2 linked regions of the Mytilus edulis genome follow. The protein of the gene in region 2 binds, or shares a complex with, the protein of the main gene of each other region. Links are inferred from orthologs where the notes say so. Each region holds a gene or a part of one and is shown on either strand. Other genes may lie near its edges.

The links.
Region 1: DNA polymerase epsilon subunit 4-like (region 2) and DNA polymerase epsilon subunit 3-like share a complex: the UniProt entries of both Drosophila melanogaster proteins name them as parts of the DNA polymerase epsilon complex. The link is inferred for Mytilus edulis from reciprocal best matches to the Drosophila melanogaster genes PolE4 and Chrac-14.

The regions. Positions count from the first base shown.
Region 1 is NC_092345.1:43,553,145-43,560,774, reverse strand, and holds the start of DNA polymerase epsilon subunit 3-like, read left to right. Parts: upstream 1-4,528; 5' UTR 4,529-4,687; exon of another isoform or gene 4,688-4,713; intron 4,714-7,630. UniProt on the Drosophila melanogaster protein: Accessory component of the DNA polymerase epsilon complex. Participates in DNA repair and in chromosomal DNA replication. Histone-like protein which promotes nucleosome sliding of ATP-dependent nucleosome remodeling complexes.
Region 2 is NC_092346.1:1,157,801-1,163,140, forward strand, and holds DNA polymerase epsilon subunit 4-like, read left to right. Parts: upstream 1-4,062; 5' UTR 4,063-4,090; coding exon 4,091-4,627; 3' UTR 4,628-4,766; downstream 4,767-5,340. Other genes in the region: lysophosphatidylserine lipase ABHD12-like, read right to left, coding at 464-594, 3,797-3,798. UniProt on the Drosophila melanogaster protein: Accessory component of the DNA polymerase epsilon complex. Participates in DNA repair and in chromosomal DNA replication. Has a role in cell cycle progression. Required for wing morphogenesis.

The sequences.
Region 1 (7,630 bases), on a different chromosome or scaffold from region 2:
GTTTCGAAGCTAAGACATTTTCACATATATGTGGTTAAATTTTCGGAATACGAAGTGCGATTTTTTTTCACACAACAATTTCTTTGAAAATTTAAAACTTTGAATACATTAAAAAACTTCATAGTTTTTACATATTTATACTATGATCCTCTACTTTCCAGATCAACACAAATGGTAAAGCTCAGTCACTTGTTAAAAATGAAACATGTTCAATATCACTACAGAGACAATTTTTGTTTACACACAACTTTTGTGTTCCTCATTTGATGGCGCATTAGTTCCTCATTTGGAGGTGCATTAGGAATATTGACCCAGCTGGTCTTGTGTTGGTTTCAGATCTCTGAAAAAAAAATCATAAATTATAAAATACAAAAAAATAAATTGATCCCAACTTATGAATTACAGCAGTTCTTAAAAATTATCCTGTGTTTACACATAATCAATATTTTTTCTATTGCTGGTCTTATAATAAACTGCAGATTCATAATTATTTTATATTGTTACTGAGATGTTTGTATCTTTGCCAATTATACACATTTTGATGATGTACATGTATGTTAGAAATTTAACACAATTTCAACAGTATATAATTATTCATAACTTATGATTAACCTTCGTTCTTATTTAAAAAATAAATTTGTTGTTAAATTGAACATGTGTTAATGAAATTATGTCTGTTCCAGAAAATACTATGTCCGCCCCTAAGGGACAGCCCTAAGCCCTTTTTAAAAAAAAAAATTCCAGCACCGACAGAATTAAAAATTAATAAGAACAACACTTCCTTTGCATTTTGGTATTTCATACACAACCACCCCCAAATAAAATTTAAGAAAAGAGCTTTCCCTGGGGGAGAGGGGACATAATATTTTCTGGAGCAACCAGTGGTTATTCTACAAATAATTAATAAAGGAAGTTTGGTTTCACAATATTGTCATTTTTCAATTAATTTAAGATATGCAAAGGATTCTACCTTAATAAATTTAGCATGTACATCGATACAACAAGACCTCATATCATATGCCAATGAACGCAATCTATAAAATCAACAAAATATAATTTGATAAATGAAATTAATATAAGAAGAATGTGTCCATGAGCCACAAATGATCTTATCAAACTTAATTTAAAGGACATATCTAGAGAACAGTAAAGCAGATGCTCTCCAAATTCAAACTCTGCATTTTATGATAATAAGCGTTGTGTATTGGTTGCATAACATGTGGTTTAGGCAAACGTTAGATAACAAAATCCAATTTTGAGTTCAATGTACATGTATGTACGTACAGTACAAGAGTTAAACTATATCACTCAGTTAAGGAGGACAGAAAAAGAGCTGATCAACTGATGTTTACCTTTTTAAAATCTTGGTCCAAATTCTTGAGCTGGTGCATGCTTAACTGTTACATGGTTACTGCAATGATTTCCTCAACCTCAGACACATTGGATCTGTGGATTTATATACAAGACTCTGGAAAAATAAATAAAAATACGTTCAATTATCTTTTATATTCTTCTGTCTGTTTCATATAAAAAAGAAGATGTGGTATGATTGCCAATGAGATAACTCTTTACAAGAGACCAAAATGACACAGAAATTAACATTTATAGGTAACCGTACTGCCTTCAACAATGAGCAAAGCCCATACCGCATAGCCAGCTATGAAAGGCCCGAAATGACAATGTGAAACAATTCAAACGAGAAAATTCACCGCCTTATTTATATAAAAAAAAATGTTAGTCCAACAAATCTTTAGGAGAACAAAGTGACAAATTTAAATGCATTCCAAAATTCATATGTTTTATGATTGATTACAACATGGTTTCTGATCACATATTTAGTGATTGTACATGTAGCTCGTCATTGATAAACATGTAGATTTCATATTATAATAAAATTGACGGTACTAATTTTCTTGCACCAGATGCGCATTTCGACAATACATGTCTCTTCAGTGATGCTCGTGGCCAAAATATTTGAAATCCAAAGTTTATATAAAAGATGAAGAGCTATAATCCAAAAGGTCCAAAAAGTATTCTCTCTACGAGAGAAGCTCTACTGTGATAGTCGAGTTGACATATTTATAGACCCTCATTGATAGGATTTCAACCTCCTGTGGTGAAAGGAATCAGAGCTTTGCATGAGGGAGATTCATTCCTTAATTTATAATAATTTCTAATATATTGTTAAATTGTACAGCAAAAAAGATGTCCCTATGTACTGTTTTAACACCTGTAAACTGGGTTTTACCCTGAAAACAAGAAAATTTTACCCAACTTTCAAGGCTAGATCCTAGTCTAAATCATTATGACACTTTCAAGACTTGGAAGGCTGTTTTTTTATTTTTTTCTGGGACGCCTTCCTACAACGACCTAATCCTATTGCGACAACCGTGATGGCTATCTTAATTTTTTTCTGTGGCGCCTATATTTTACAACATCTTTATTGGCACAATTGTCTATTTCCATGTCAGACCCAGTGATACAATGATTGATCGTTTGTTGCTCAACATCCAGTGGCAAATATTTCATGCATGTTAGCGACGACCCCCAGTGATATATGCAGCATTATCATTAATAGGCCAGGTTGGTAATATGCCAAGTTTGAAATGTGCGGAGTTTGTAATGGACCCAAATATCTAAAGTGCTGAGATGTTTAGCTTCACATTTTCTGATATTGATAACATGGATAAGACTTTTATGCTTCAATGATTATCAAAAAATAACAGAGCAGACACTTGTAGCCTTAATATATAGGGATAGTAGCTCTTGTCACAGATAGAAAACAAGTACTTGTGGCTGTGCACCCCTCCCCCTTTTTTTTACTTTCTACAGTTTTTACTTATTTTTGGATCTCCTGAAACAACACAAGTTAATCACGAAATTTAAATAACACACATCATGGCTAAAATATCTTGTATCAGTGCAATATATTGACAGTATAAGAAAAAGTATCATATTTCAACACGATCACGTATAACCGACTTGAAAGAGGCGCCCAACACGGTAACAGCTGTTTTATTTTCATCAATCAAACTTGTTTTTATCATGGAGAACCTATTTGGTGTAATGTGCAATCATTATTTTACCTTTTTCTTTGTTCTGGAATCTGGATCAAGCTATATTTCCACTGCCTCACTGTTTTCAAAAATCAAGCGGCAACAGTGCGCATGCTCAGACTTTTCATAGGATGCAGCGGTAAAACCCGAGTACTGCTGAACGTTACACTAATCAAATCGTGAAAAACGATTATGAAATCCAAGTGATAAATGATGACAAAATTTTAATGATATAATAAACAATAAATATTCATATAAAATACATATATTAGAACATTAAAATTGGATTTGTAATATTTTCTTTGACATCTTGATGCAAATTATGTCTGCGGGAAAAAAGGGGGATTTTTTTTTTAAATCGATAAAATCGTAAATATATTCTAGTGAAGGTGAATGATTGATATATCCAGGAATACTCATTATGACATACCCCAAAAATTCGTCCCATAAAACCAGATTTTTACAATGTATTCACTACGTTCTTATAATCGGATTATGACAGTTATAAGCACGTTGTCACAACGTAATAAAATGTTACGTCCTGACAAGGTACTAAATTTACGTGAATCCGACGTAATTTCATAACGTCGTCTGTACGTCTGCATCCAACGTTGGATTTTTACGTTCCCACAACGTTGGTACGACGTAAACTCACGACATGACGTTCAGACGACCATTAACCGACGTCGGGAGTACGTCGTGTGTTTACTGGGTCGGTACTCAGAGTAGTTTTTGAGGTGAAAATACGGCCATATTTGTCCATTAACAATCATACAACTGGTACCATTCTTCATGTTCTTACAAATTTTGTTTTTCTATTTTGTGTCTTGTATCCCTGAATAATCATTATAGTCAAAAGAAATATAATGAAGAAATCACCGGTAGCATACAGCACATGTAATAAGAAAAACAAGACAAAATGGACCATGGCACTGTTTTTGTAAACTTATTGGAGCTGAAATTTTGACAAGGAAATGTTATAAGTTGAACTAGAAAATGCAATTAGTTAATTACTTTCACTTTACGTGCTATGGGTGTACCTTAAGCCCAATGAAGTGTTCGCTGTTTACCAAAATTAGGACAGTCGTAATTATGTACCGACCGAGCCTCTTGACAACTTTTCCAACTTCCGGTTATGGGAATGGTCTGCATAGAATAAATTAAAAACAAATGACACATTATGTGCATAAAGTGCTTATTAATGAAAATATGAAACATTAGTTTTAACGATCACTTCTATACATTGATCATTTTAAAGGAAAAATGGAACATTAAATTTTCTGCATATATGAAAATATATCTAAAGGACCGAAAATATAGCAAGAAATGAAATACCAATATATTTACTAATGATATTTGAAATCATTTAAATTCGAAATTAAGAAGGAAAGATATAATAACTGGATGGACTTGCATTAATCATTTATATAAATATTGACAGATATTTATCTTTATTTGATTGATCGTCTTTTCGGTTTTTAACAGCACCATGGCCAGTAGTAATTAAAATGGCGGGAAGCTTGGAAAACAAAGAAGGATACCAACATAAGTAAACGTCCTGCAACATTAACTCGACAAGAGACTTTCACATCAACTATCCTGTTTTCTTCATCTATTACATTTTGACAAATGTAAGATTGTACTGACGTCCGGGGCTGTTAGTGTTATTTTTTAACACAACTAAAAATTAAATTTAAAATTAATAAATTTTAAAATAAAAATCACAGGCACTTGTTTACTCGTAAATAAACGTTAATAGTGGGTCTTCCCATGGAGAGAAACAAGTGGCTGTGATAAAAATCTAGTTCAGCCGTAGTCGTTTCTACAATAATAGTCAATTCGGTCACAATATTCTAATGTTGTTATATATGCCTCCTTAACCTTATTTTATGATGGAGCTATTCGCCGTTTCAGAATCTAATGCATCCTGGGTAATATTTTCAAAAGCGTACACCAAAGCGTTTTGATTGGTTTAAAACGTCCTAAACAATCGAAATTCAACCAATGACGTAACGTTATTTTCACTTTGGGGTAAGAACAATACACCTTATCGCTAATCCCGGCTGACCCGCCCGCTTGAACTTTTGACGCATACAACAATTACTTTTCCATTGGGCCGTTTTTATTAAATAAGTTGGTTTACGGATCCGCCGACCCGAATTTTCGCTAATTCAAATAAAAATAAACGCACATTTGTCCTTAAAAATTATTTCCGCCGACCTCATATTTCTCGATTTACTAAGAAAATTTTAAACGGAATTTTTGTGTTTACGTTTCGTATTCTGGTTCCTATTACTGCATTAAAAAATCGTTAACCAGTGCACCGGAACGTGACTGGTAAGCTTTCCCCGACACCCAAAAGCGAAAACAAGTCGCCCTCTTCTTGACGATACTCGCTTTCAGTCGCTTCCGTCATCGGACATTTTCAATTTTTACCAAGTTGATGAAACATCATTTTTTTATTGATAATTAAAGAAATTAAGACATAAACGGTTCATTATCTTAAGAAAAGAGGCTGAAGCATTGTATTTGCAGTGTGTAGCAGTTTATTTGATAAAAAATACAACTTTTTATCACCTCGACCATTTTTGCAAGTTCCGGTGCTTGTTACTCGAAAACGTACATCAACCTAAATTTCGGCGGTAAAATAAGTTTGTTACTTCATTTAAACGTGATAAAAGTTGCCTCTAGTAAATGTTTAATCCATTTATTGCATTAAAAACGTCATGTTCCTTTCCAAATAACTTGTCAAACATCGTTTATTTTTGTAAATTTTCTTGCATTCGTCCGCCATTTACCGATTCCTAAAGTACGGATCTGAACCGGACCAGCTAAACCGAAATCCGTACTTTTACAATAATTATTACGGACGCACGGATGGAACAGCTGACAGACGAATATTGACCACAAAGGAAAAAATTACGTATTTCACATGCATTAAGAGACTTTTAGTTACATCTAATTGATTGGTGTATATAATTCCCTATATTTTTTATGTATTGAATTTGTTTCAAACTTTATTAAAGTTGCTTAACTCGGAGACTATTACACTAGCCAGGGCCGTAACTACATTGAGGCAAATGAGGCAAATGCCTCATCTTAGAAATTAAAAAAAAAAAAAAAAAAAATGAAACAAAAGATTGTCTTAATTTCAAATTGTTTTCACGGAAAGTGTCTAACAAGAAGCAAGTTCTCTTCACTCTCTGGTGTCGCCCCTGCATGTTTTTCGTGATCCATGTTTCTTTTTTACTTTTAGTTTTCAGAATTGATGGTCTGTTGTTTGAACTTCTGTGTCCCGGGTTTGTCTTTTGCTCATTTATTGTCCTACTTTATGACAATAGTCTGAGTGTTGATTTTCATTTGTAAACGTGTAGTTATGCAATGTTGCATGCCCACTGATGTCCAGATATTGTGCGAGAAAATATTTTAAAAATATACTAGACATAAAAAAAAAAAAAAAATGGTCGTTTCTGCATTGAGAATTGAATTTGATATCAGAGAATTCACAACTGGCTTCTTTTGGTTAATAAAACTAGATAGCTGGCATGGTTTAAATTAGAGTAAGGTCACCAATTTTACGGTATCAAATAATTTGAAAAAAAAGCAATAATGTATTGCCATATGACCATTTCCATTGATGTGTTAAACTTGCATTATCGTCATGTTCAGACCCTTTTACAGAAAATAAAGGAATATGGAGTAAATGTGCACGAAACCTAATCGCACACAAAGTCATTGCATAAAAAAAATACTAATGATCAATCATTTGGTCAAAGTTGCTGGAGGGTCTTCAACAATAAAAGAATCATTAATACCGTAAAACAGGGTCAAGATGGTCCCTAGTGTCGACTTAAGCAGTTCTAGTATTTAAAGCATAATACTGCACTGTCACTATATTCCAATCTAGTCATAAAAATGTCACCAAAGTCTAAGCACAATACAAGACTAAAACAGACAGACAGATCCGGTATTAATGATTAGGAGAATTACGAATTTTGCGTTGTCCATAAAACCTTAAAGACTAAAATTAAAATGAATCTATGTTTTTGCTTTCAGACCAGAATATTATCGAAAGAAAGCTAAAAATTAATTGCGTTTCAATGTCAGAAAGAGTCTGGGAAACGCTCAGAATGCACGATTTTGCGTTATTTTTCTCAGAGCTTCTGGGGGGCCTTGAGCGGTCCCAGTCCCCTCGCCAAATTTTTTTGCCTCGCTCCGCTCGGCGATATATTTTGCCTCACTATTTGAAGAGGCTAGTTACGGCCCTGCTAGCTAATATCAATATATTATGGCCCAGCTTAAATTATATATTTTTTGATGAGAGACACTGAATTTCATACTTAAGATAGTTTTGAATTAAATTGTAATTGATATATTATAATTTCTTTACATTTTTCAAAATAAAAAAAAATTTTTTTTAGTGCTAGATATTAAATATTTAGTTGGAAGTTTCTCACAAGAACCTAAGTAAAACTTTTAATTTGAAATGTTACTTTAATTGTATACTCAGATATGAATTGAACAATATAAAAAGAACATTATTTAACATATGACCCTTTATACTATAGTAAAAT
Region 2 (5,340 bases):
CAAAACAGACATGGTACTGGACATGACAAGCCTTTTGTTTAATAAAAATATGATGCAGATTTAATATGCTTTTAGTCCTATCTATTTTGAAATACGGACATGAGTTGGGTGTCAATTTACATTTTTTTGGTACTTTACAAATACAGTAGAATCGGTATATTTAGAGCATGTAGAGGCTATAATTTCATAATCATTATGTCATAAAACCCTTATATACAGTTATCAAAGCCTTTATCATCATGATCATGACAGATTATTGCAAATTCCAATGTAAAATTTTTCGACAGCTTACATTTGGAAGTGGAATTGCAGAAGAATGAAAAATACCAAAAATCTACATTATGGATAATTTTGAAATAAAATTCACTATCAAACCTAAAATACAATTTATAATTTTAATTTTCAGATTACTTGCAAGTTTGGTTATATTCTATGTACAAATATCTAGTTTCACAATACTCACAGAAATGTAAGAAGAGTATTTTAGAGAAGATCCAAGGATTTGTCTTGACCAGTACTGGCACCACTACATAAAGGACAAATAGAATAGCAGAGAATGTCTTTGCTGCTGAGGTTAACCATGGCACATAAAACCTGAAATAAACATACATGTAACAGACATTAGCATGATTAGAGAATGTCTTTACTGCAAAATTCAACAATGATACTTAAACCCTTAAAAACATAAAAGAGGGACGAAAGATACCAAAGGAACAGTCAAACTCATAAATATCTAAAATAAACTGACAACGCCATGGCTAAAAATGAAAAAGACAAACAATAGTACACATGACACAACATAGAAAACTAAAGAATAAACAACCCGAACCCCACCAAAACCTTGGGGTGTTCTCAGGTGCTCTGGAAGGGTAAGCAGATCCTGCTCCACATGTGGCACCAGTCATGTTGCTTATGTGATAACAAATCTGGTAAATAATCTAATTCGGTAGGTCACATTCATGAAAGGGAAGGGGATTGTAGTTACGACGTTATGGCATCTGTAAAATTTATGAAGGGATAATTTCAACTTCACCATTTAGAACTCTTGGTTTAATAGCTTCCTTGTGAGCAGCAACCATCTATCCAGAAAATCATGATAGGAAATGCAAGCACGTTCAAATAAACATGTTCCAGAAACCATTTAAATTTATATTTTGAAAAACTGTTTAGATGGGGACTTCAATGTTTGCCTTACAGGTAAATATTACATAACAACTCCATTTCAGGAAAATGTAGGCATTTCCATGCACAATCTTCAGTATTGTCATGTTCATGATGCTGTACAAAGCATGTTCCATTGAGATAGTCTCGTAATAGTACATATGTATCGTGGATGGATTATTTGCATTTGTGTTAGGTAGCTATAGAGTTTTAAAAGTTTCCTATTTTGACCAGGGTAAAATTCTGAATATAAAAATTATTGTATACATGTCCCATAATCATGATAATATCAAATTTTGGTGCATGACGATATACATGTAATAATAAAGTTATTTGAGTCTAAGACCTTTGTCAAATCACAATTAGAATATTTTGATGAATGATGGTAAAATTTCAACCAATTTGACGCTAACAGTAGCCAAAAATTACTGTTTGACGCCTAACGATATGTGAAGGGATTGCTTCCCTTAGAACATTTAGTAGATACTTAGTCAGCCATAAGCCGTTGAGCTAAGGAATTACTTCTCTAGCTCAGTCCGTTAACACCCTGCCTTATAGCTTTTAACACAGAGGTCCCGGGTTGGAGACCTGTTGAAGACATGCGATTCTGCAAGTAGAATCATGCTCTCCACTAAGATTGGCGCCCAACAATAAAATCCCACAATTAGAAGAAAAACATAGCCAGGTTAAAATATAAATATAAAAAAGATGAAGATATCATTATAGAGTATTTTAATGGGGGGAAGTGTACATGTGATGGGATTGCTTCCTTCAGAACATTTAGTAGATACTAAGTCAGCCATAAGTGCACATGGTTGAGCTAAGGAAGTACTTCTTTAGCTCAGTTGGTTAACACGCTGCCTTGTAACATACATTGTAGAGGTCAAGGATTCGAGTCCCAGTGGAGGCATGCGACTTTGAAAGGAATCCCGGTCCGTTCGCACCCTACATGTTCGTGCCCAATTTTAATTGGTTTTTTTTTTTGTAATCATGCAAGTTTTGGCAAGAGTATTCTTCTTGTCATTGTCTTAAAATAAAGTGAGACAGCATTTTATCTTTGTGTTGAACAAATCTAAATCATGTTTTGGATAGTGTATTGTTAAAAAAAAATATAATCCTTTCTATAAATAAAGTGGGATTCTGTCAACATTTTATTTTATATTGAATAACTCTTAATCATGTTTTAGTTACTGTATTACTATAACTTTGTTTTATAACTTGTTTCAAAACAACTAAATGAGATTCTGACTACGTTTTTTTTTTTTGTGTGTTGAATAATAAGTTTTATCATGTTTTGGTTATAATCAGATAATAGTGTATACGTATTGCTTTATCTTATTGTTTAATTGTTTCAGATCAAAGTGAACAAGCTGTCAAAAACAATTATCTTTTGTGTTTTTCATTCAAAATCTTCAGTGTTTTACTCATACCAAGCTATAAATACATTCAATATTTACACCAAAGCAATTTAAAACAACAATCATAATTTCTAATTATTCAACTGGAATTTGAATTAAAATTGGGCGCGAACATGTAGAGTGCGAACGGACCTTGGGTGCGAACCTGCGCTTTCGGGTCGATCCGGCCCAACGTCGATCCGGCCCATATGTAAAGTCGATCCGGCCCCAATAAAAAAAAAAAATTTCTAAGGAATAAAAATAAATATATATTAATTGTAATTCATAAATGTTTATTATTTTTATTATAATGTTAAAGGTGTACGGTAATAAAAGTAAAAAAGGCCTTTGAAAAATATTTTTCATTAGATGAGTATAAAACAACTAGGTTGATTATGTCTTTATTACAAGTTTTCAAGATTATTGGGTATAATTATATTAAAACAGTGAATTCAGACATCAACATTAATCAGCAGTAATTAGCATTTTCTTTCAATTGACTGTGATCCTAACAAGTCTTTCATCTTGTGTAACATATAATAACAAATAGTTACATACATGAACGGTACAAGCCGATCCCCAAGCTGATACATATAAATTTGTTTTTCTTTTTAAGTTCTTAAAATTTCTAAAATTGAGAAATGTTGTTGCATCATCGATCGGACACTTTTTTCAAATTCCATTTATACTGTTAAAGTTTGTGACAAAATCTAGTTAATTCATATTTTATTATGGGCCGGATCGACTTGGGGACGGATCGACGTGGGCCGGATCGACTTGGGCCGGATTGACTTTGGGCCGGATTGACTTGGGGCCGGATCGGTTTGGGGCCGGAACGACTGGATACCCGAACCTGCGAGGTGCAAACGTGTAGGGTGCGAAAGTGTATTGGGCGTGAACGGACCTGATACCTGTTACCCTTTGAAAGAAGAATCATGCTCTCCAGTTACAGGTATAAGGCATTACTATCCTCATTCATGAACATTAAGCCTAATTTACTTGAAAACAAGGGAAAGAGGGTGGTTCAAAATTGTGTCAATATTGATTTTTTTTCCTATTTAATAAACTGTGTATTGTCACCAATGACAATGGCACGAGTATTCAACATTAGCATAGTAGCAGATGGTAGCAGTCCAAATGTTTTCGGCTTGAAAAAGAAAGATAAAATATAACAAATACAGTGTTACAGCATATAAAACTTTCTTAGTCTAAAGAGTCTTGCTATTTAAAATCCTTACATTTTGACGTTCCAGATTTTGAAACGGGAAGATCGGAAATGATGTTAATTTTTTACGAAGTCGGAAAAACTAAGGAAATCCGGTTTATAAACATGATATAGCTTTACACTTTAATGATGAAAAAAGACACTTGAAAAACCAATTACCATATTCCGGCAACCTCATTACATTATCAATTATTATTTAAATAGAAATAATCTATAAATTACCATAAATTTAGCCTTTCAAGTAGAAGTTTAAACAATCGAAGTAAATTGCAGAGTTGGTCCGGATTTGATTCTCAAATTCTATAAAATGGCGGGAGAAGGAGAAACTGTGGAAATCATAACAGAAACAATATCACAAAAAGATGAGACAGACATAAGTCATTTAAAGAACAGTGATGAAAATAAAACAACAAACTTAGAAAATGAATCTATATCAGAAAAAGAAGAATCAGATACTATTCCTGCAATCGAGAATGGCACTCATGAAGAAACTGAAACACATGAAGATCAAGAAGAAACATTAGAACAAAGCTCTAGCACACAAGATCAAACTGAACCTTCAGGGACTAGTGAATCTAAGTCACCTAATTCAAATGAACGTTTAATGAGACTGCCGTTATCCCGCATTAAGGTGATAATGAAAACCGATCCTGATGTTACTTTGGCGAGCCAGGAAGCAGTTGTCGCACTTTGTAAAGCAACAGAACTTTTCATCGGAGCAATTTCTAAAGACGCAGTTGTAACCACATTAAACAGTAAACGAAAAACATTACAAAGAAAAGACCTTGATGTAGTGCTCGATTCAAGAGATGGCTATGCCTTTTTAGAAGGAACATTAGATTGACAAGTTATTGTACATATAGAGAAATTATAGGAGAATTATATGAACTGACAAGTTGACAACGCAGTTTAATTCCATGAATCTGTGAAGGACAGTACAAAGACGATTTGCGTGATTAATGAATGGGCATTTAGCAAACAGCTATGAGTATCAATTCAATATTCATTAAAGCTAAAATTTGTACATCTTCTGAACATGCTCATGATGCTGAAAAGTCCAAAATAAAAATGTGTGTGCATGTGTTACTAATTGAAATTTAAGTTTATACATTTGTAACAAGGTTCATGTGCTGTAATATAAATAATATCTATACTTTAACTGTATTTTTTTTTAATATATGTACTGCAACTGTGGTTTTGGTGGTAGGTGCTTGTCTCAAGAGTGAGTTTAATTCCCAAACAAAGACTTGTAAAAAATGGTACATTTCCTGCTTCTTTGCTTTATAGCATCATGAGCATACAGTAGTTAAAAATGATGTTAAGAACAAGTATGAAATAGGGTATGATTGCCAATAACTGTTCACCAGAGACCAAATGACAAAGTAAATACATGTAACAACTAAACAAGTTACAACTATAGGTCACTGTATGGTGCCCTCAACAATTAGCAAAACTGATACTGTATAGTCAACTATTGTAAAACAATGAAAATAACAGATTGATTAATGTTCAAAACATTGAAAAGATTTATTTTTTATATAATACAGCAACAAGTTA